Schizosaccharomyces pombe: one gene and its partners. The protein of the gene in region 1 purifies or fractionates together with the protein of each later gene. This does not show direct contact. Each region holds a gene or a part of one and is shown on either strand. Other genes may lie near its edges.

Evidence for each region.
Region 2: the proteins of pkl1 (region 1) and msd1 purify together in Schizosaccharomyces pombe (affinity purification with western blotting; one study listed by BioGRID). This does not show direct contact.
Region 3: the proteins of pkl1 (region 1) and alp6 purify together in Schizosaccharomyces pombe (affinity purification with western blotting, with the first as the bait; one study listed by BioGRID). This does not show direct contact.

What each region holds. Positions count from the first base shown.
Region 1 is NC_003424.3:3,437,164-3,442,711, forward strand, and holds pkl1 (kinesin-14 family minus-end directed microtubule motor Pkl1), read left to right. Parts: upstream 1-1,726; 5' UTR 1,727-1,769; coding exon 1,770-1,781; intron 1,782-1,819; exon of another isoform or gene 1,820-1,823; coding exon 1,824-2,457; intron 2,458-2,510; coding exon 2,511-4,198; intron 4,199-4,323; coding exon 4,324-4,488; 3' UTR 4,489-4,523; coding exon of another isoform or gene 4,524-4,632; 3' UTR 4,633-4,760; coding exon of another isoform or gene 4,761-4,885; 3' UTR 4,886-4,954; downstream 4,955-5,548. Other genes in the region: U5 snRNP-associated protein Aar2, read right to left, coding at 1-898; pfd6 (prefoldin subunit 6), read right to left, coding at 4,524-4,632, 4,761-4,885, 4,964-5,034, 5,085-5,124.
Region 2 is NC_003423.3:3,048,717-3,052,459, forward strand, and holds msd1 (microtubule-anchoring factor Msd1), read left to right. Parts: upstream 1-1,834; 5' UTR 1,835-1,863; coding exon 1,864-2,859; 3' UTR 2,860-3,243; downstream 3,244-3,743. Other genes in the region: gpi14 (pig-M family mannosyltransferase), read left to right, coding at 1-1,477, 1,528-1,761. UniProt on the Schizosaccharomyces pombe protein: Has a role in meiosis.
Region 3 is NC_003423.3:480,448-485,828, reverse strand, and holds alp6 (gamma tubulin complex GCP3 subunit Alp6), read left to right. Parts: upstream 1-2,000; 5' UTR 2,001-2,122; coding exon 2,123-2,250; exon of another isoform or gene 2,251-2,289; coding exon 2,290-2,351; exon of another isoform or gene 2,352-2,391; coding exon 2,392-4,223; exon of another isoform or gene 4,224-4,276; coding exon 4,277-4,753; 3' UTR 4,754-4,881; downstream 4,882-5,381. Other genes in the region: Ctf18 RFC-like complex subunit Ctf18, read left to right, coding at 1-1,256, 1,337-1,467, 1,517-1,880; U3 snoRNP protein Utp15, read left to right, coding at 4,933-5,250.

The DNA of each region.
Region 1 (5,548 bases):
AAATAGTTTTTAGGAGATTTTCTATCGCTTCGTTTACTAGAGAACCAAAGCTACCATCCACTTTCCTTTCACTTAGACTATCAAGGCAAGATAGTAAAACGCCTTTCTCAAAAATGGCAGACGTTTCTAAGTCGGATTCACTTAGTGAGCTAAGCTGAAGTTTGAAAAGCTCCAAAAAGGAAGCGTAAAACTCTGGTTCAGTTTCCGCCAATTCATAAGACTGCAATAGCAAACTCAACATATTCTTCCAATGCTCCAAAGCACCATAGTGGGAGAGAATAGAGTAGCTCAGAAAGGAAATTGATAATTCCGCTAATGCAGAGATGGGATTGTCATTCCACACGCTTTGGACGAGTCTTTGAAACAAAAACGATTTATCAATTGCTTGCTTAGACCGTTCAGGTCCAGTGGCAGACGGCGACCAGCTTCGTCGTAAATTGAATTCAGCGAAATTTAATAGTTTATCGTCTCGAGAGGGTTTTGAGAATTCCGGATCTTGTGACACAAGATCAGCGTTGACATACGTTGAAGTGTCTAAGTAGAAAAATTCACCTTCAGTAGCAAAAATTCTTTGAAGATCTTGAACTGTAATGAACTTCGTCAACAAGTCCCAATCCTTTGTTGATTCAAAGGGATAAAAGTTTTCGTCATATAATACATCAAGCTTCTGCAAAGAAGCTGTTTCAGATTTCGAATCAAAGTCGATACTATATTTCATATCTTCATGGACCATAGCAAAAACTCCAGAAATTAATCCAGCAGGGTATGTTGGAGACCAAGTGAAAAGATGAATTCCACCTTTTACATTTCGAATACCTGGAAGCTTACTAGCTTCATATGAACTCTGATCAATGCCAACGTAATATGTATTTAACCATCCGACAAACTCTATACTCATTATATACAAAACAAATTATTCCATATCTTCATTTATTTTGTCTATTAAGTTGAATTTAAGATCGTAGACATTGGTCAAAGCTAAGTTTCAGGCTACTGATTTAAGAGTTATAGCGATGGATATTATAAAAAACACCATAATACATTAAAGGTTTTTGGGTGTCAGCAATTCTACACTACGCTATAATATACATCGTTTCGTATCACTAAATATCGCCTGCTAGAATAGTAGTTAAGATCTATTTATTCATAGTTACGGATAAAATTCCATCTATCTAAATATATTCCAATTGATATAAATTAATCGAGACATTTTAAATAAAGCTACAACTGAACCTCGCTCCTTTAGTTTAGTCGTTAGCTAGATCGCTGACTGGACACTATTAGACTTCTTTAAAGTAATAAAAGTAACAATTGTTAGTTAAACGTACAACCTACCGCTACATGGCAAATCGTAATATAAGCTCACCGAAATTTTAGGTAGTGTTACACATTTCCGCGGACTTTGTAATTCACTTAAAGACACGTAAGGATACACTGAATTTGTTTGAGATATTCCAAAAATCAATCAGGGAATGTGGAATTACATAATATAAATAATATTACTTAAGTACTATTTGTTAATGGAATCAATTGTATTCTATACACCATTGATTAATAACATAGATGGATATACACGAGAGGCTTGAGACATATAATGATGCGTAGCATTGGAATTTGCTTAACAATTTAACACTCATATTTAACCCACGTAAAATAGTTTTACGTTTCTTAAAGCATCTGCTAATCAAAATCTGTTTTGTCGAGCTGATAAATTCGTGTTTATAGTATTGGGAAGAATTACTCTATAAAACGCTCTTTTTAACTTATAGATGGTAATTGAGGTAAGAGGTACTTCTGAGTAACTTATCTTATTAATGCGAAAGAATACAAAGGACATTTCCATAAACACAGGGTATAAACGACAGGAAGATGCTTTAAACACAGATTCTGAGGACTTAATATATCGACCAAAAAAAATTATTAAAACAAATCAAGAGGATGCAGTACATGATTTGAAATACGAAAATTTCGTATCAAAAAATCACGTTTTACAAAGCGACATTAATGGCAAGAAGAGGGACAGCAATCGAGACAAGGCCGCTGTAGTCACAGCGCCAATTGCTTCTACTCATGAATCTAATTACGAAGAATCTGTTTCCAAATTTAAAGAGAGTTGGCTGCCTCAATTAAAAGATCTCATTGAATCTCATAAAACAATATGCGAATCAACGTTAGCCTACGAGAGTGATCAAGCTATGGCTTCTTCTAATACATTAAAGAGAATAAAAGATTTAAAAAGCAAACCAAAAAATATTATACAGTTAGAAAGGTTGCATATGCTATCTAATGGCGAACATCGTTTATTATCGAAAGACGAAACCGATGATATTGAGTCTGCATACTTGAACCTTAGATCACATCTTCAGGTACAAGAACAGGTTTACGCTGAAAAGGATCATGAATATTCGTTACAACTTCAATCATACAGAGAGGCAGCAGAAAAGGCCAAGCAAGATAGTAAGAATACATGTCTTTATGCTGACTTTATTTGATTACTAACTATTTTAAAGTTTTAGAAACAAAAGAAAATCTTTCCTCTGAATTATCGATATCGAATATCCAGTTGAAGGAAGCCAAGGAAAGGTTAGAAGCTGCGAATGCAAGCTACCAAAAGCTACGTCGAGAACACAAAGAACTTGCACTTTATCATGAAAAGAAAACACATTCTCTAGTTTGTAATCTAAATGGTGAACGAAAATCCTTTGGGGATTTTGTTGAGAACGAAGTAAAGTCATATAAACATGAATATGCCAATATTTGTGAATCACTTCGGAGAGCTCTAGTGCTGATACAAGGTTCTTGTACTGAGAAAATTTTGCGTTTTAAAGAAAAAATTCTGGACTTATTAGAAATGAAACAACAAGAAGAAAATGATCGAATATCCCACATTGAATATGAGAATGATTTAACGGTTAAAAAGCTTAAAAGGAGAATATCTGAGTTGGAAATGGCAGTAAAAGAATATGAATCGGAAAAATCATACTCGGAAAAAGAATATGAAGAAAAAATCTCCTCTCTGCGTATAGAATTAGAAGACAAGTTAGCTGAAATTGACATGCTTCGAAATAAACTGTTAAAGGAAGAGCATAAACACCACTCTACATCTGAAAAACTTGAAGAACTTTCTAAATATGTTGCAAGTATTCAAGATAAAGAAAGAAATAATGGCCAGAACGCATTGGAACTACAAGCTCGAATCCAACAGCTGGAACGGAGAAATGAAGATATGTATAATAAACTGTTAGCAGAAGAAATAATCAGACGAAAGCTGCATAACGACATTCAAGAACTAAAGGGAAATATTCGAGTTTTTTGTAGGGTTAGACCACTACTCCCAAGTGAAGAATCCGAATATTGCATTGCTGATGTTTTACAATTTCCAGATAAAGACGCACTAGAGCCACAAAAACTTATTCTTAAAGGGCCTAATGTTGAATCATCACTCGGGCATACTTATGATCGTAATTATGAATTTTCCTTTGATCGAGTCTTTGCTCCTGAAAGCGATAACTCGTCCGTTTTTGAGGAAATATCACAGTTAATTCAAAGCGCTATTGATGGTTATAATGTTAGTATATTTGCATATGGACAAACAGGATCGGGTAAGACGTACACAATGTCGTCACAAGACGGTATGATAGCGATGTCAATTAAGCATATATTTAATTATCTATCAACCTTGAGGGAGAAAGGGTGGGTGTATAAATTGAGAGGTCAGTTTTTGGAAATTTACAATGAAACGATTTATGATCTATTAAACAAAGCGGAAATGTTGAAAAATCCTAAGCACGATATTCATCATGATGAAAAGGAAAGACGAACAACAGTGGATAACGTTTCAATAATTGATTTTAATGAAGAAGATACTGTTTACAAGATGCTAAATCGAGCAGGAGAAAATCGATTTATAGCAGCGACAAAAGCAAATGAACGGTCTTCAAGATCACACACTGTTTTCATGCTGTATATAGATGGTGAAAATTCTAGAACCAAACAAATATGTAAAGGTACGCTAAATCTAGTTGATTTGGCAGGTTCTGAGCGGTTAAGTTACAGTCAGGCAGTTGGGGATAGACTACGAGAAACGCAAGCTATTAATAAAAGTCTCAGCTGTCTTGGCGATGTTATCCATGCACTTGGAAATGCCTCAAATAGTACCACGAAGGAAAAGTCTCACATACCATACCGAAATTCAAAGGTGAGTATTAGAATGAAAAGTTCTTTACGAAACACGTTCTTTAACTGTCAAAGTGGCTACTTATTTGCTTTGCAGCAGTGTGTAAAGTCTATATTGAAAGCATTTTTGTACTAACCAGACATTAGCTAACTTATTTGTTAAAATATTCACTTGGAAAAGGTGCCAAAACCCTGATGTTTGTTAATGTGTCTCCTTTAAAGTCGCAATTCATGGATACATTAAATAGTCTGCGATTTGCAACAAAAGTCAATGATACAAAAGTAGGTTCTATTAAACATTATAAACGTTAAGCTTATTTTAGAGTAAAAAATGTTTACCAAAGCATTTAAGATGCTGGGTTTGGTGGAGCAGCTGCTGCTTGTGCTTGAATGATGGCACCTTTAACTTTGCTGAATTCTTCTTGTGAGATTTTTGTTTGATTTTCGAGGCGTGCACTATAATTATGAATTAATAAAATGACATACGCAATTCGATAATACAAATGAAGAAGTACAACTCGCATTTTTAGAGAGCGATTTTAACCTCAAGGAAATTCTTCTTTTTCAAATTTCAACAAACATACATTTCTTTATTAATGAAATCCAATCTTGTTTTAACGTTGGTCTTTGCTTCCTCATGACTTTGCTTTACAAGGGTAGGACCGATTTGCTTATATATATTTGAGTCAGGAGCCACTTTTTCCAATTCCTAATTCGCATTAACAAAACAATTCTAATATAAATGGAGAAAATAGGGAAAATAGTAATTTTTGTGGCCTTAACGTACATTGAGGACAGTAGTGTTTTCTTGTAATTGGGTTTCCAACTTTTTTAAACTTTCGACATAAGTGCTTAGTTCTTGGGAATTTCGTTAATTATTTAATTCGATGCAGAAGGTTTTGATTTACCTGTTTGTAGGTTCTGATATTTTTTAGCTAATTCCTCCATTTCTATTCCTGTGTAAAAAGACGTAAAAGGATAGTAGGTAAAGAGACATTCTACTTACCTTGAAAGTCAGCTGAAATAGCGAAGTTCGTTGAAATTCTATATTATGAACAAAATATATTTTAATTGTGTGATATGATTGATTTTATGACTATATTGGATAAAAACGAGAAATAAATAAAACCGAATTAATTTAAACAGAGAAATGTAAGCTACACTAGGAAATCGATTTATGAATGAGTGAATGAAGGTGTTGCTGAAATTTTGAGTAAAGACTCACTGTTTTGATACAACAAAACTACTTGGTTCAGTATATAAATTAGTGAATTGCAAACCTTTTTTTTGAATAAAGGATATGAAAAATATTGTTTTAGTTCACTTCTCAACTGCATCCTTCTGGAATTAACAATTCGTAAATAATGAAACC
Region 2 (3,743 bases), on another chromosome or scaffold:
CAAAAGTGAGGATTTGATCCAGGAATATGAATCTTCTCTTTTATTAGAACCATCACTTCGTTTGCGAATTAGTTACCTTGCGCTTTTTTTAAAAAATACTTTGCAGTTCGGATACATACGGAAAAAGGAAAATGTAAATTTGAATCTCGTAAAAACTCCTAAGTATGACGATTTAACGAAAATGAACCTCAGTTCTTCGACTGCTAATACACTAATCAAAGGTATTCAATCATACAACTTTCAAAATTATGAAAAGGCATATTCTTTACTAGCTGCTGGAGTTACCAATTCTTTGCTTGAATGGACAAACACTAGTGTCTCAGATAAAGAATATTTGCGAATTCAGTGCTTTATTCAATCTTGCTTGCAATATCGTTTAACCCAGGATGAAAAATATCTCATTGATTTGGATGTGAAAGTTTGCAGTCTATTCAATACAAGTGCTCGTGAAGCTCTTATCCATTATGCAAAAGCTATGAAATTACTGTCAAAGTACAATAGTCGTGAAAATATGATTACCAAATTACGTGAAAGTAGTTTATATCTCCTATATGCGCCTACTGATGCATTTCTTTTACTTTTATTGGGTCTATTGATGAGACTTGTATTGTTGAATTATGGTATTTGGCATGATAGACGATCTGCCCTTAAATTTACGGACATCGATTATTTCGTGTTTTCGGACGCATCAAAATATGTCTCCATAGGAATGTCACCGTATATGCGTGACACATATCGCTATACTCCAATGTTGGCAATTTTGCTTCTTCCTACTCAATACGGATTTCCGTCGTGGGGTAAATATTTGTTTTCAATATCAGACTTAATTGCTGGGTGGCTTATGATTAAGCTCTTATCTAGGAGGATATCTTACAAAAGGTCGTTAATTTACTCTTCCTTCTGGATATTGAACCCATTCGTCGCCATAATCAGTACTCGAGGGAATTGTGAAGCCATTCTTGGTATATTGAGCATTGCTTTGTTGTATTTGATCGAAAAAAAATCAGTTTGGCTAGCTAGCCTAATACTTGGGTTTTCTGTGCATTTTAAAATTTACCCATTTATGTATGGGATTGCTTTCTTAGTATATTTTTCAAAACCAAAAAAAGGGTCCACTTTCATGGAAAAATTTCTATCTTTATTATCGATTAATCAGTTAAAGATTGTTGTTGGTTCTTTGTTTATGTTTACGATATGTAATTTATTGATGTATTACCTTTACGGGTCTCCATTCCTTGAACATACATATCTTTACCACTTTGGTAGAACAGATCATCGACATAATTTCTCTCTACATCATTTAAACTTATACTATGAATCATCTTTCGGAGCAAAAGCGTCTTCTTTATTTGCATTTCTGCCGCAGTTAAGTTTGTGCATGCTAATACCCTTGGTCTTTGGAAAAAAGAATTTACCTGGGACTCTATTTGCCCAAACATTTGCATTTGTAACCTTTAATAAGGTTTGTACCAGTCAGGTATGTTAAGTTTGAAATTAGAAGAATGACGGATTATACTAACAACTTAGTATTTTATGTGGTATCTAGTATTTCTACCTCTGGTTTTACCAAACTCTAAGCTTTTAAGTAAGAAGGGACTTATTTGTCTGTCTCTGTGGATTATTGGTCAGCTGTTATGGCTTATTAGTGCATACAATTTAGAAATGTTGGGAAAATCGGTATTTATACCTCTTTGGCTTTCCGGCTTACTTTTTTTTTTTTTTAATGTTTATGAATTAAAAATAATATTAGATTCTTTGTAGTTAATAATCAATCTGTTTTAAGTTCTATGCAATAGATGATTTTTATAAGGATGTTCTACATTATTTCTTCACCACCGCATTAATAAGTGTAAACATTGGAAGATGACCACCCCCATTGTTTTTTGCAACCCCAGCAATATAGAAGAAAGCCTTTTGTATATTAACAAATCTTTATTTTCCAAAGGAGTAATACAAGCTGAAAAGTTACGCCTTTCTCATGACATTCGTGATAATTGCAACATAGTGAACATCATATATCGTTTATTAAGAGCAACTGACGAAGAACGTTTAGAAAAGGAATCTCTTCTTGATGCTATTAAAAATAATGAATATGAAAAGCAAAGAGATAACAATACAATAAAACGGCTCAAAAATGAGTTGGAGCTTTATCAAAACGAATGTCAATTGCAACTGAATAAAGTTAGAACACTGGAAAGAGATCAAGCTGAATTAATTACACAAAATAAAGGTTTGAAAGATGTAAATGCTAAAAATGAATTGACTTTGAAGGCATTAAAGAATCAATTATCTGTTTCATTACGCCAGCATGAGCAACAAATGGAGACTTTGAAAGGTAACTATGGACTAGTGAAAGCTCGAAAAGGAAGAAACCTAAATAGTATGTTAATCGTTAAAGAGCCTATTAAGCAAAACACAAATGCCCCCATACTACCTGAGACCGCTTCATTTTTGCAACAGAATGATGAAAATTCCAATTTCCTTAACAGTAGGGTGAATAACGATGAATTTCAATTGTTAAAAGGATTAAATAACGAATTGAAAAAAAGTAACGGAACACTTTTGACATGTTTAAGTGGTACCTTGAATTCACTGGTAGAGATGTTAAGTCCTTTATACGAACGTCCTAACTCGAACCCGTTTGAAGTATGTGAACTGAATGCTATCCTTCTTGATGCAAAAATTCAAAATCAGCTGCTTTTTATTCGTAATCTGTTGCATGAACGTAAATATGTTTCAATTGATGAATTGGATGCAATATTAGAGGAAAACGAGAAAAATAAACATTTGATAAACATTCTTCAAAAGGAGAACAAAAGAGTTTTTGAATTTTTAACAAATATGCACGACAAATTTTGACTGACTTTTAACGTAATAATTTGCTGCTTCGATTTCTTAAACGAAAGCCAATTTATTAATAATAAAGAACGCAATTCAAAGACACTTATATTCCTCTTTGAGAACTGGAAGATTGCTTTTTATTTTTTTAAATATTTATTTATTGTAAACAAGTGCATCTTCTTTCACTAAGTACAGAATTTTGAAGGCAAATTTCTATTCTCAATTGAACGATTTAACATACCTTAAAATGTGAAACTGTTAAACAGTGCACCAGGGCTTTGAAAGCATGTTGTTAAAGGATTGTAGGCACTAGCTCAAGAAAGTCGATTTAATTATTTCCATGTAAAAGTTAGTTGGAGCACTTACGATTGTGTTTAATCTTCAAAAAAATAATTAACCGGAATATTTTCTAAAAAGTCATAAGTTATTTTTAATTCTTTTTTATATTTGTAAAAAAACACCTACATAATTATAAATATATTGATATTTCGAATTTCAATTCTGCTCAAAACTACTAACACACCCCTAATAGAACAAAATATTTAAGGTACTAGTAAGCTTCAAAAATCATTATTGGTGGTTTTGTTAAAAAAGTAAAAATCAGAGTTACTATAATGATAAATAAATTTTAACAATTTTTTTTTTTAATTATACTTTTTAAGCGAATACGTTGGTGTATTAATTTTATTGGCGACAAGTCTTTAGCGAATTTAGAATAGCATTAGTAGTGTGATCAAGTACATTAGTTTTTTTTGTCAAATGTGTTCAATGTTAAACAATATAATTACCTTTTGTTATTGAAATCACATTTTCTTATTGTTTACATTTTTTAACATATAGTGCTATATATCAAGGATCGTTAAGTAGCATTGTGCATTCCCTGATACATTATGGCGCTTGCT
Region 3 (5,381 bases), on another chromosome or scaffold:
GGATAAAAGCTTGGGATCCTTGTGTGTTTGGAAAATCTCGATTACAGCCCTCAAAGAGTATGCGTTTTAACCCCAGATTTACTAATATCACTTCTGATAGTGATAGACCTGATAAACGGATTATGATGCTGACTGGACTGGCAGGTGCAGGTAAAACGACTTTGGCTCATGTTATTGCTCATCAGGCTGGATACAAAGTTTTGGAAATAAATGCTAGTGATGATCGTACTGCTCATACGGTTCATGAAAAGGTATCCTCTGCCATTAGCAATCATTCAGCCTTGTCATCTCAACCTACATGTGTTATAGTTGATGAAATTGACGGAGGTGATCCTGCATTCGTACGAGCACTTTTGAGTTTATTAGAGAGTGACGAAAAAGCGACTGAGTATTCTCAAGCTGGTAATTCAAAGAAAAAGAAAAAGTTTAAGAAACTTTGTCGTCCCATTATTTGCATTTGTAATGACTTATATACTCCAGCACTTCGACCTCTGCGACCATATGCTCAAATAATATATTTTCGACCACCTCCTCAAGCATCTCTTGTCGGTCGTTTAAGGACTATTTGCCGAAATGAAAATATAGCTGTTGACAGCCGCTCTTTGACTTTGCTGACAGATATCTATAATTCTGACATTCGAAGCTGTATCAACAGTTTACAACTTTTGTCTTTAAATAACAAACGTATAGATTCTGAGACCATAAAGCTTTTGCAACCAAAAAGTAATTCTTTTAGTACTTCTAGTTTAATCCAATCTCTTTTTTTACAACTTGATAATAAACAAATACGTGCAATTGAAGCATCGCAACCTACTTACTCACATTTGGACGCCCTCCTTGCAAGGATTGATGGAGCTAATGATTCTGAATCAGTCTTGATGAATTGTTTTCATACATACTTAGATCTTCCTTTTACTGATAGCTTACTTTCTAAACCTGCTTTGACAAGCGAGTGGCTTTACTTTTTCGACCAACTTCATTCACAATGTTATAAGGGAAATTATGAGTTATGGAGGTACATACCTTATTCCATTATTCATTTTCATTATTTGTATGCAACTCCTGAAAAGTGCCGCCTTCCGCATCCTCCCAGAAGTGATTTGGAAGCTTTAAAACTTTATCGTACTCGCAAAGAAATATTGGATTCATTCATATCGACGCTAAATGCTTATGAAAATCAAATGCATGGAGAAAGATCAATTCTTTTGGAACTTATCCGTACAATTTTAATTACCATAAATCCTACACTAAAACAGGTAAGGTCTATATATTTTAAAAAAAAAAAAAAAAAAAATTGCGTGAAACAATATTTTTTTAATTTACTAACTTTTTATAGAAAGAAGATTCTATGCCAAGGAGCGCTTTACCTTCTAAAATTGAGCATGCGATTAACATTTTAAATCATTATAATTTGCGTTTCCAACAGCTTCCCGTTGGAGATGGCAACTATGTGTATAGGCTTGAGCCGTAAGTTCCAATATTTTTATTTCTTTCTAGTAATAGCTAACGTTGACAGACCTTTGGATGAATTGGTTTGGGACGCACCTACAAGTTCATATTCTGTTCGTCAAATGCTATCTCAGGAACTGCTCAAGAAAAGGCTCGCAGACATTAAAAAACAAACCCTAACGGACAACCCCACTTCTTCGAATTCTTCAAGAAAGCGCAAAGATTTTAATTCCGGAAAAGCAATTAAGAGAGATTTTTTTGGCCGTATCATTTCTGAACCAAAATCTGAAGCAGTTACATCGAATAATGCAGCTTTGAATACAGGAGATCATCCAGTTTCCATCAAGCATGCAATCAATATCAAATTTCACGATGGGTTTTCCAATGCTGTGAGAAAACCAATATCGTTGAACGAGATTCTGAATTTCTAATCTAATGTGCATTAATATTTTTAATTTCAATCTTTTTGAAATAAAATCAATCATTTAATTTAAAAAAAAATCACTAGTAAAAATAGGTGTATGCGTAAATTCATCTAACCATTATTTCCTGACCGCGACTTCGGCGTGTACTTTGTCAATGGCTTTAAGATTTTGAGTTAACGATCAATACTTGTATTTCTCTATTTTAATTCAAAAATAAAAAAAATACTTTCGTCATTTGAAGTTCTCAAATGTCGGAGATTCATGTGAAAACTGCATTATCACGTCTGGCGGACAAGTATTTACAGAACTCCAAAAACCCTTCTGTCCCTTACACAATTGAAACGATCGTGTCTTTCTTTCAGGAAATAATTCACTCGTAAGCTAATTTCGTGTAAATGATCATGCTAACTGTTAGCATTTCTCCTGATACTTTTCAACTGGACATTGATGACATTCTGTACAAAATATATTCAAAAAGTATGTGAAGGTCTAAATACCAAAATTAACAGTTTTTTAGTTCCCCCCGAAGAAAACAATGATGCTTTATTTTCTAAATTATCTAACTTAGTTTCGCGTTTGAAAAGTCAAACGGTCATTCACAACAAATCTCAAATACTCTATTTCTTATACTTGCTCTCTCCTATTTCTCAGTCATCAAGAGATGTCTCCTCTCATTTATTAGATGAGTCTATTTCCAATCCTATCAATATTCCATCAACAGAAGTGGAATCCTCAAACTTTGGTCAGACACGTTACGATCAAGTTCCTGAAAACCCCCAAATTACTGATTGGGATGAAGGATTGGAAAATGAAAGTTCTATCTCAATTGCTCATGATTCATCTAGGCTAAACCGTAGTACTGAAACTTCTTCTGTTCAACATACTTTGATTACAGAAGCCGATTTGTTGTCTTCAATATCTTACGTACTTCAAGGAATTTCTACCGAATATGTTCAGTTTAAAAATGAATTAGCGCTGTTGTCTAAGAGAATACCTGTCCAATACCTTTTACAGATGCGAGCTCTTTCAGAGACAGGCTTATTATATCAGGAACTAAAGGTTTTCAGCAATTATGATCCTTCGGTCAGTCAATCCATTGATGGTGATAACGTTAGTAAAGCATTTATAAACGATCAGTCTTTAGCTTTACAAAGTTTAAAATCGGTCATTTCTAAAGAGCTGACTAATTTCCTTGCGTTAATTGCATCTCTGGATTCACAAATTCGAGCAGACGCTTCACTTGAGAAGCCTATGGTAACTATCCGGCGTTGCATTGCCTGGACGCAAGTTGCCAAGCTAAAACTTAGAATTTTGTCTTCAGTTGTTAATGATAATATGAACCAGGAGAATAAAAAAAGATTGATTCAAGTGGTTTCGAAATACAATGTGCATGGAGATCCGCTAATACAAGAATTGAGTGATAAAATACTAACAGAAATTACTGGACCTTTATACGAAATGATTGAAAACTGGATTTATAAAGGAGAATTGGTCGACCCTTATCAAGAATTTTTTGTTAAAGAAAAAAATGGTAGTGAAAGCCATGATCATCAAGGGCAAGGTGATGTCGTCTGGAAAGGTAAATATTTTTTAGACAAAGAGTTAATACCAAGTTTCCTTTCTGAAGAACTTGTCGACAAAATCTTTTTGATTGGAAAGAGTTTAAACTTCGCACGTTATGGATGTGGTGATTTTGACTGGGCACAAGAGCATTACCAGAAGCTAGTGAAAAAACTTAGTTATAGAGACCCTCATTCATTAGAAACAGTGGTTGATAAGGCGTATACTGAGTCCATTAATCACTTAGTATACTTGATGGAAGAGGTGTTTCATTTGACTGATCATTTAAAGGCTATCAAAAAATACCTTTTACTAGGACAAGGTGATTTTGTGGACTTATTAATGGAGAGCCTTGGTAATTCTTTGGATCAGCCGGCTAATACTTTGTTCAGACACAATTTGACTGCTTCTTTAGAAAGCGCCATTCGTTCAAGTAATGCATCTTATGAACCTGAATACGTATTAAAAAGATTGGATGCTAGGCTTCTGGAGCTTTCACATGGTGAAACTGGTTGGGATGTTTTTACGTTGGAGTATAAAGTTGATTCACCTATCAACGTAATAATAACACCATATTGCTCTAGACAATACTTAAAAATATTTAACTTTTTATGGAGGTTGAAACGAATTGAGTTTGCCCTTGCCCATTCCTGGAGGCGAGTAAATTTGGGCGAGCGAAATGTCTTCAGAAATCTGGATTACACAAAATTCGAATGGCATTTTGTCAGTTGTCATCTTGCGGAAATGATTCATTTTGTTTGTCAACTTCAATATTATATACTCTTTGAGGTAACGAAAAACCAAAACCCAATTTTGCATTGTATACTAACCATTGGAAACAGGTTATCGAAATTAGTTGGCAAGAATTACAGCTTGCTATGGAGAAACCAAACGCTACATTGGATACGTATATAGAGGCACATGAAAAATATGTTACTAGTATAACTCATAAGGGCTTGTTGGGTGGTGGTAAGTCAAGGAATGAAGATTCCTTCCTTCATCAGCTTCATGATATACTTAAAGTTATCTTAAACTTTCATGATGCAATTGAGTTGTTGTATAACTTTTCTTGCTCCCTGTCGAATAGAATTCGCATTAATGTACCAATTTCGACTGATGCTTTGGCAGCTCAATACACCCCTATAAAAAATGAACTCTCAAATTTTACTGAGGAATTCCAGGTTCGACTTCAAAAATTATTACATGGATTAGCTTCCCATAAGGACCCAGAAATGCGCTTTCTTTCCGTTCGTCTCAATTATAACGAATTCTACGTTTCTCATAGACGGCGTCATGATAAGGATGTTACCAGTCAATAAATGAGGTTCATGCATGATTATTTAAACTTTTATTACTCGTAGTAAACTATAAATTTAGTTATTAATATTTAATGTGATTTAACTATCGTTCAGCGGTGCTGTTTAATTTGCCTTTGCCAACCACCAACACCACCCACCCATTTGGTTAACTTTTTTCAGCAACCACATATACGGATATCATGTCCGCGCCTGCTGGTAGACTTCAACCTCAGCGTTTTGCTGCTTTACCTAATCCCGTTACTGCTGAAAATAAATTTTGGCGGTCATTCAAGGTTCCTGTCGTTGCCAAGGAATATAGTGCTATCACTAGTATTCATTTTTCCGCTGAATCCCCTTATGACTTTGCAGTAACTAGTGGGGCTCGTGTACAAATTTATGGAGCTAGTTCAAGGTCTGTTAAAAAAACAATTGCTCGATTTAAGGATACCGCATATTCTGGTAACATTAGAAAGGATGGAAAACTTTTGCTTGCAGGAGATGCTACAGGACTTGTACAGGTAAGTCTACATTACCAAAAGCTTTGAAAGATAGTTGCAATTAAAACGTTGATAAGCTGCACATGGAATTTTGTTAGTTTAGTTTAGCTGATTGAAGCTGTCATTTGCTAGTATATAGCTAAAAAAATACC